Linked DNA regions of Drosophila melanogaster. The protein of the gene in region 2 interacts with the protein of the main gene of each other region in a pairwise test. Each region holds a gene or a part of one and is shown on either strand. Other genes may lie near its edges. The genes, in order: CG12609 and CG15533.

Region 1 (4,412 bases), on a different chromosome or scaffold from region 2:
GTTCATCAAACTTTTTCGGTGAAGAATAGAACAAACAGAAGAAACCACAAAATTTACTTACAAGATTCATAGATAGCATTTGCTGTAGTTCATTGTTGTAGATACTTATCCGTGACCTAGCATGCTCCTCGATTCCCTGGCCATTTGCCAAGAAGAGGCGGAAATAATAAAATGCAAAAATATTATTTTTTAATTAAGTCATAATAGCAATGTCGAGCGCTAATCGGGGGCCCAGCGGCTCCTCCTCCCTTTACCGAATGCCGTGTGAATGCTAATGACCCGGGCGAAAGCCAAGAGGAGTAGAGCTGCTTCCTGGACGGATGGATGGATGCGGGGATGTGGACGGACTGGCGGGACGTGCTCACAGTTTTCGACAACGCGCACGCAGTTTGCATATTTTCACATCATTTTGCATTTGCCCAAGGACGAACCGAAGGCGCTGGTGGGTGTAGCATTGGGACAAGGACATTCAACGAATTCAGCACGACCAACGGAGCCGAAACAAGTGGATTCTGCCATGGTAACTAACATACAAATTACCCCGAAGTGGGTCGTCATCTAAACAGTAATTACATGTATCGAAGATACCCATCCTGACCGCCACGAAGTATGTATCTCTGCGGTCTTTGCGGTTGTGGTACCATTTTGCGGATATTCGTCACTCATTTAATCAATCAATTAATCAAAAGTTAGCGAGCAAAAGCCGGGGGATTGAAACGATTGAAAAGATAAGGCGAGCACTTAAGGGGTTTATTGGAAGAAATTAAATTAAATTTTCACGCTAATGAGCAACGCATCGGGCATCGGGGGGAAGTCGGAATTTGCGCTTAGGGATGTCGGATGGGGATGAGTCCTTTTGCCAGGCGGTTGTGTCTGTGGGGTTAAACTGTGTGCGTTGTGTAATTTCTTGAAGTAATTTCGGAATTTACTTTGACAGCCAAAAACTAATTTCGTCGGTGGTTTTTGGATTTGCGGCAAGAGTTCGCAACTTCGCTTTAGCATACAGACTGTGTTCGTCATCATCGTTCTGAAGTATTCATAAATCATAGCCGGACTCGGTGAGTTTGGGCCGTATCTTTCCGCCTCATTTGCCCAGCCAGACTCAAGAATTAATCAAACTTGAAATGGAGCCCTCAACACGCATTGGGGCGAAGTGAATGTCCTTCGGATTGTCAAACAGGTGGCTGCGGTGTATTCAGACATGTTGTCAATGGCACAATAGGTCAAATGGATGGCAAGTGTATCTAAAGGAAAGGAATATTTGGTAGAGCTAGTCATTCATATTTTCTATGCTTACTTACTTTTGACTGTTTTGATGGGCAGGTTGAAAAGAAGGTCATTGATTTTTGCTCTCCTAACTGCTGTTCATTTCTTTTGCTCCAGATAATTTCATATTTTCTTCATATTTCATTTGGCATGATCGACTAAAATTTGTACTATATTTTAACTACTTAATGTTAGTCCCCACTCTGCTTATTTGCTGCGTATTCATTTATCTTGACTATTGTAATGCATGAAGATTCAGGAATGTCTTGGCTTTTTGGAATCGTAAATTACCCTAATGAAGTACTTTCCCAGCTTGCCCTTGTCTGTGGTCCATAATCCTGTTTTAAACTTAACACAAGAAAAGCAATTTAGAAACATTGGTTAGAAACGTTGGCTAAAATATATCTGGAGTGGGTTCGTCGGGCTTCGAAGGAAGCGATAGCGTTGGCAACTTCTGGCAGCGATCGTGTCCAGGACGTAATGACCTTTGACCCGTGCGAACCTTCCAATGCATTTTGTACAGCTCCTCATCCTCCGACTGGCCATCGTTGGCCAGAGCATATTTTGCCATCCTGGAGGTCGTCGGCTGCTCACTGTCCAGATCCTTCTGGTTCATCTTGGTCTTGGATACGGAATCACCAGGACGTGCCTGCAATGTGGACAAAGTCTCTGAAAGATCTCCCACGGAGGTGTCCGACGAGCGATTGCCCAAATTCCGCTTCCAGATGATGTTTTGCTTAAAATCTGGGATTTTCAGACGCGGCCTGTCGAACGCCAGTGGCCCAACCTGCGCATCCATGCGCATCTTGACCATATCGGCGATTCTCTGGCCGGAACGATGGCTCTCCTTGCTGCTGGCATCAGTGGATTCCCTTTTGGTCATGGATTTCAAATTAAAGTCCGACCAAAGCTTCGCAAACCTCTCGGATCTTGGAATATTTTGTTTCTTGGCGTTTGCGTTAGATTGTTGGTTATCCGACTCCTCAGCTCCATCTTCCTGCTCCAGGAAAGCAAATCGATCAACGTAGTAGGGCTTCTCTGGCGGTTTTCCCTTGCCGGAAGTCATCTGATACTCGATCATCTGGAGTTTGTACACATTAAGTTGATACCGCATGTTGCGCATCCGGCAGCGTATGAATTCGGCACTAAGATGACTGCCCAGTTGGCTGGCAATCTTCTCCCATGAACTGCGCTTCATGTCCGCATCCTTGTACGCCGGCAGCGTGATCTTCCACAGGCACGGCTGCTCCCTGTAGAGGTCCACCAGGCGCAAATTGAATTCCTTCTCCTGACTGGAAGGCAGTGATGATGCAGCATGGCGCATGGCCAATAAACGCTTCTGGCGCTCGAGACGCTGTATTTCCATCATTTTGGAGCTGTTGTGTGGATGTGTCTATTGCTTGTCTATCCGGATGAACGAAGTGTATCCAGGGGCCTGCTCAGGTTGCTTTCATGGGGGAATCGATTGAATCCACCTTGAAATATTAGCTCTTAAAGTCTGTCAGCTGTTATTACGGATGCTGACGTCTTGGATACCAGGTAAGCTAGCAGCAAAAGGTTTAGCCTGCGACTGAGCCTGGCCAGGAATGCGTAACCGCTCGATGTCAGCACTCACATGCTTCAGTGCATCCGCATAATTTGTGCTCCGGGCAGGATGGGCGGCTCAAAAGGCAACAGAATGTTGCAACCGCATAGTTGCCCCGCCAGTTGGCAGGTGGAAGGGGCCAACGGAACAGACGGAGGCAAATGCGTCTCATGAAAGTTGCAACAAAGGACACGGCTTGCACTCACAAGTAAGTGGGTGGTGGTGGGCTGGGGCATGGATATACGAAGGGACATGGCACTTCAACGACAACAAAGCTCAGAAGGAAGCTCGCAAGTGCTGCCGGTTTATCCTTTTTTTTTTTTTTTTTTTTTGTATAGCTTGCCCTGCATCTCGCCGATAAATTCCCAAAATTCCTTAGTGTTTTGCAAATTTTCGGCAGAAATTTATCATCCGATTTCTAGCAATCTTTGCGAGTGACAACATTTATCTTTTGATAAAACCGATAAAGGTCAGGCATTTTGTTATAGTTGTAATTCCTTAAAGTTTCGGCATACGCTCAAATTCTAAGAACATCATGTTTATGAAATGGAATAGTTAGTTGTAAAATATTTTATCCCGAATAGTTTTATTTTTACCCGTCGAATGAGTACATCTCTACGACTCACATGATGGGTGGGCCACTTTAGTGATATTAAATCGCAGCTCAGGCCAAATCCGTCAACGTAAAGCCGTCCTGCTCCTTCTTCTGGGCCACCTTCTGATCCTGCTCCTGCTTCCATTGACATCTGCAGGATGCGTGTCCAATGACTACTCCTCGAATGCGGCCGGATTCCCTATTGGGTGGAACGGGTATTTAATTAATTTCGCCACCCAGACGCGGCTGAATGGATGGATGGATGGATGGTTGGCTGTGCCTCTGGTATATCCACGGATTGGAATGCGAATGCCAGAGATTGCGACATGGCGCTACGCCTTGTTCGTCAAATGCAAATATTACGCACTTTACGCCGAATTTGAATAAACAAAATGCGTGCCAATTAAACACCGGAGGGAATTGAAGCTCCGCATTTTGCAATTGTGCCGCCTAACGAACGTGAGTAATTAGGGCTGATTGGCGTTGGGAATCGCACGTTTGCATAATTCAACAATGAATATTGGACAAACCAACACAGTTTCGGGCACGATAGGGAACGGGAATGGAAATTGGAGGAGGGGGTTGCCATCAGACGGGAAAAACACGCAGCATTTGATTTGATCGCTTTGAGAAGGACTCCACTAATTGCCCACAGCTGGAAGAAAGTTTGTCGCTCAATGCGGCGGAAAAATACACGTGCAAAAACCAGGAGCCGTAATTTAATTGAGTTGGAAATACTATATTATATAATGATTATGAAATCTCTAATATAATGACTACTAAGGAATTAAATTACAATAATCATGCAAAGAAAATCTTCTTTGTTTTTCAAACCATTTTCTTGGCTTGAGTATTTAATAGGCTCTCGTTCTCTATTTAAATCGAACTATTTTTGCTATTCAATCCAATTTTTTCCACAGTGTATGTATGGACTAGTATGTGCTTTAACATTTCATGACGGCATCT
Region 2 (5,294 bases):
TTACAAAAGGGATGATATCTGACAGCTAAACTACTAATTACATTTACGGTCTGTAAAGTAGATGTATGAAACGATTATAAACTCATAGTGAAATGAAGAAGATCGAAAGCATCTATCCAATCGGTAGTATTTACACAGCTGACCTCGAGTTAGCCTAAGATTCCATTAAGTAGTTTTCTTACATATATCATTCATAACATTGTAACAATACAAGTTGTTATTAGGCTTGTAAGATCATACATTTTACAGAGTTTTTTTTTAAGTGTTTCCATTAGTGAGTCAGATCATGGCGCGATAATCGACATTTGATCACGATTCTGACCATAATCGGTGTGTCGTAAATTATTACCTAAAAGAATCGTGTGCACGTGCTTACACTTATCCGTAGTTCAATATTCGGCAAAAAAAAAACTGTAGCCAGCTGCTTGTTTTATGGCCAGCACGGTTTAATAAGCTAATTTTCGCTAATCGCCATTAGGCGATAAGGCAGCCGGCTGAAAAACAAAGTCCCTCCACAAAAATCATCCAGATTAGTTTCGATAGGGATAAGCGCATACTTCTATTTGCCACTTGAGAGCGGTTACTTTTAGAATGGAATCCATTCGGTTTATATAACTTAGGGGGTACAAATGAGGATTACTACAAGGCTAGGCGGATGGAGAGGACTATAGCCAGCAGGGAGCTAACGCTGAGCAGTCCCAAAGTGGAGGATCCTCCACCGTCGTTGTCATCGTTGCCCCCTGGGGTGCTGGGACTTGGGGTGGTGGCTTCAGTGCTTCCCGACGACGATGTGCTCTCCTCATTGTCCAGCTGAGGGAAGGGAATCATCACTTAGTTGTGGATCGAGAGATTTATCCAGAAAGTAACTTACCGAGGCAAACAACTTCTCACGCAGCTCCTCGCAGCGTTCTCGCTCGGAATTGATGGTCACAGCAGCTCGGCAAAGAGATCCTGCCAAGCAGCTGCGATCACAACCTCCATTCACCTGGGGATCTGCTGAGGTCACTCGGTAGCGCCAGTACTACAGATGAAACGGGTATTAATGATATGATATGGTGACCGTAAAGATGATATTCTTCAGATGATATTAACTTACCTTTCTCATCAATTCGGGATTCTCGGCGAACTCATCGAGCAGCTTGCTGATTCCGGCCGGACTCATATCTTCCGTGAACTCCTTGATGAACTCGTACTCCAGGAACCACTCGGGCTGTTCATCTGGCTTCAGATTGGCAGCAGTCAGGTTGTAAATCCACGTCCAGTGGTTGGTCACAGTGTAAGTTTCGGGATTGACGGCGTACTCTCGGTAGTTGGGGTTCTTGTTGGAGTAGGTGGTAACAGCACCTCCGTTCCACGCCACTGCGGTGGGGTGTCCTTCATCCTCCGAGTAGTAAACGAATAGCTCGTCCTTGTGCGAGTGTCCTGTGAAAATGCCACTGATTGTGGACCTGAAGCGGGATACGCAGCGGTTGAATTCCCGAGCCCAAACGGACCAGCAGGTTCCATCGCCCGAAGGAATGTGGGTCAGCACGTGGACATACTCCCCGTTCTTCTCGGCCTCCAACAGGGTATCGTGGAACCACTGGAGTTGGGGAATCTTGTCCGTGCCACTGTGATACAACCAGAAGTTGTCCGTATAGCAATCGTTGCTGTTTAGAGCGATGATACGGAAGCCCTTCCTGGGCACCACCGTGTAGTAACCTCCTTTAAGGATGGTTTCCTTGGTTTCAGCCGGCAGCCACTTGGACCAATCGTTGTACAGGTGCTCATAGAGCCACTTGGTGCTGATCTCATCTGGAACGCCCTCGGGACTGAAGCTGCAATAGTCCAATAGTCGAAATAGATAAGCGAATGAATTGAAAATAGTTGAAAACATAATAAATTATCGGGTGCTATGCAATGCGAAAATAAAGATAAGGATTATTAGTCCACTTATACATCCGGGATAATCTGAGATTAGGAATCCCAATTCATGCAATTTATAAATATCAAAATTTAGATTTTAAGGATCCCCTACTTACAGGTTGAGTGGATGAGGCTCGTGGTTTCCGATGCAGGGATATACGGGTACATCTCCGAAGGCCGCGTTTAGCCGCTCACTGACCTTGGTCAGCACCATGGTGTTCTTCTCCACGGAAGTGGCCCACACCATGTGGTCCACTATGTCGCCAGTCTGGTAAATGAAGTCGCACTTGGAGTTGGCCACCGCGTTGTCCAAGGCTGACTCGAAGGCGTGCCAAGGCAGATCGCAGTCCCGGTAGTCGCCCCAGTATCCAGCTGCATCCGACGTACCCTCGGTGGTCTCCTTGTTCCTCTGACAGCACATGGGTTCCGCACAAGTGGCCAGGCTGCCGGGGGTGTAGTAGGGATCATGGTGAATGTCGGAGAACTGGCAGATCCTGATGTCCGAGTCCTGAAAGGTGGGAGTGTCCGACTTGGGGCCAGCCGAAGCCTCTCCAGTATTGTCTATAGTCAAGGTCCAATTGTAATCTTGATTTGTACCGGTGTTACAGAAGTTAAACTCCATGAACAAGGAGCAGAAGCTCTGGGAATCACTCTCGGAGTTCCTCATGATGTACTCCACGGAGGGCAGGTTGGAATCGATCAATCCCTCGCAGACCTCCTCCGTTTGCAGATTCAAGCGGCGGCACACGTCCATAGCGAATTCCTTCATCAGAACGGAGCTATTCTCCCCGTGGAGCTCGCCGTCCTCCTCGCGAATGGTGCGAATCAAAACCCGCGTCACCGAGCGACAGGCCACGCACGCAAAGAAGCTATCCCTGGGCTCTAGATCGGGCATGTTCCTGGTGAATATATCCTTCTCACTGTGCGACTTGGCCAGCTGATTGGTGAGCTTCAAGAACTCCGCCGTCTCCACTCCGGTCTTCAGGAAGGTGATGTACTCCCTGGCCAGACGCTCGGCTATGTCGTCTGCAATGGCGGACAGGATGTGGTCGTCCAGGTCGAAGTCCACGGGCACTCCCGGCAAGTTTACGGCGGAGACCACCAGGAACCCGGAGGTCAAGGCGATCGCCAGCAGGATTCCGATTGCTTTCATGGTTCGCAGAGCAACTGGAGCATAGTTTCCACGTGTGGGGCCATTTATAGCTTTCGGTTATCTCTCAGCCAATGGCCACCCCATTAACCAGGCCGGAAAACGCATTCATGGCAGAGATTAGCCTAATCTCGAATAGTAGAACTTTTATATGATTATATTTTTGGCATGAGAAGTGGCCACAATCTGCCTCCGGTGGGGCAGATTTCTAAATAATCATATCGCAAAAATTACCATTTTTGACCATTCACCACAAATAGGCAATTAATAAGTCATATTACATATTTCGATATAACTTTCCCTTTTTAACTAGATACTTTATGATTCAAAGAAGCCAGAGCCTATAGTGTAAACTGATGAACCTTATCATATCTGCTTTGCTAATTTAAGTATAAATGATAAACAAAGTTCTTGAGATCGTTTTTGCTTATTGAACAAGAAATCAAATTAAGTATACACTTTTTCAAAATGTAAATGAATATAACTCAACCATAGCAATCGTGTTTTTCATTGTTTCATTCGAAACGAAACAGATTTCGAAAAGGCTTGCATTATACGTTGAAACAAATATTTTAACTCATTCAATTTTTGCCGCCCAAGCGAATAGGTGTTACCGTACGCGAGTACTGAGCGAAGTCCATCTGACTGGTCGCACCACCACTACCGCCCGGGCATGGTCACACTGCACAAGCGAGTGATTTATAAATATTCGAAGAGGCAGGGCGATAATTGCAATTGAAGCAGCGTTGTGAGATGCCAGCCGAAGTCCAGGCCAGGCTGTGAGTGTTCAGGATCGGCTGAGAGCAGGAGCGCACCCAGTGCGGGATTAGCAGGGGATTACCAGGCAGGATTAGCAGCCTCCGCAGGCAGACGCAACAACAAAAGATTCCCGAGAAGTGACGCCATTTTCATTGCGAATAAAGAGCAGGTGGGGCACAGAGTAGATATACGCCGTGAAGAGCCACATAACAGCAGCCGAGAGTATAGCACAGTGGGCAGCCAGGATGAGCAGTCTGATCAACTTCCTCAACCCAAAGCTTAAGCCCTCCGTAGAGACCGATGCCGTCTGCGAGGATGGCTACACTGCGGCCAATCTGGTGGCCGACGACGTCGAGCAGCTGGAGCGTGGATTCATGTGCTTCGCCGTCTGCAAGCCGCCCATAGAGATCGTATTCGACTTCCCCAAGGCGGTGGACATGAAGGTCATCAAGCTGTGGCCCTCCTGCGGAGCCCTACGATCCACTGCCTTCGAGCTGCATGGACGACACGATGGTATCTGGGAAAGGGTTGCCTTCGTACGCGATCTGGGGCGTGGCGTGGACTCGGTGACCTTCTGCTACCAGAGCGACTACAACTCACGGAGCAGCTCCAACTCGGAGCAGAGCGAGAAGGTGTTCTTCTTCAAGTCCGCCCACAAGATCCTTGCCAGCACAAACAGCGTCAAGGTGGTGATCCGGGCCACGGAAAGGTGTCCTCCAGTGCTGAGGAAAGTTCAGATGTGGGGACTGCCCGCTCGTTCGCTGGACAAAGCCGATCGCGAGCTGGTCAAGACCATCTGGAGCGAGATAAGCGATCCCTACGGCCAGAGGGACGCGGCCCAAACGCCCACCGGGCAGAGATCACCACCGCGGAATGTTCCAGAGCTCAGGGACCAGTCGACCCTCTCTATTCCTGAAGAGTTCCTCGACTCCATCACCTGGGAGCTAATGGTAAATATCAGAAAATCCTAGCTTTTTATGTTTAAGTAGTAGTACAACTGAATACATACCCATGTCAATTCATGAAATCAATCGTTTTGCACGGTTTTATTATTCATAATTCTTTATAATCTTTATGAATCAATTATCATGTCTTTATCAAAACCAAACAAGGTAAATATCGGAAGTCATGTAAAGAATTCATTTTCTTCATAATGAGAATTGCATTATAATGTCCGAAACGCAACAACACTTAAATATAAAGATAATAGGATGCTCTGTGAACTGTTTACTTTGTAGCTCTCCTTATCAATTCTCCCATTGCCTCTTCAGATCTTCCCCACCGTGCTGCCATCTGGAAAAGTGGTGGACCAGTCCACCATCGACAAGCACGCCGAGGAGGAGGCCAAGTGGGGTCGCCAGCCCTCGGATCCGTTTACAGGCCTGGAGTTCAATGCGCAACGCAAGGCGATTCTCCACCTGGCCCTAAAAGCGCGCATCGAGAAGTTCCTCATGGAGAATTCGGAGCACTTCAAGGCGGT

Evidence for each region.
Region 1: the proteins of CG15533 (region 2) and CG12609 interact in a two-hybrid assay, tested with the Drosophila melanogaster proteins (one large-scale study listed by BioGRID).

The regions. Positions count from the first base shown.
Region 1 is NC_004354.4:18,745,631-18,750,042, forward strand, and holds CG12609 (uncharacterized protein), read right to left. Parts: upstream 2,677-4,412; 5' UTR 2,636-2,676; coding exon 1,661-2,635; 3' UTR 1,302-1,660; intron 1,245-1,301; 3' UTR 737-1,244; downstream 1-736.
Region 2 is NT_033777.3:30,426,606-30,431,899, reverse strand, and holds CG15533 (uncharacterized protein), read right to left. Parts: upstream 3,081-5,294; 5' UTR 3,059-3,080; coding exon 2,022-3,058; intron 1,818-2,021; coding exon 1,097-1,817; intron 1,022-1,096; coding exon 872-1,021; intron 811-871; coding exon 640-810; 3' UTR 538-639; downstream 1-537. Other genes in the region: CG2218 (uncharacterized protein), read left to right, coding at 4,060-4,764, 5,086-5,294.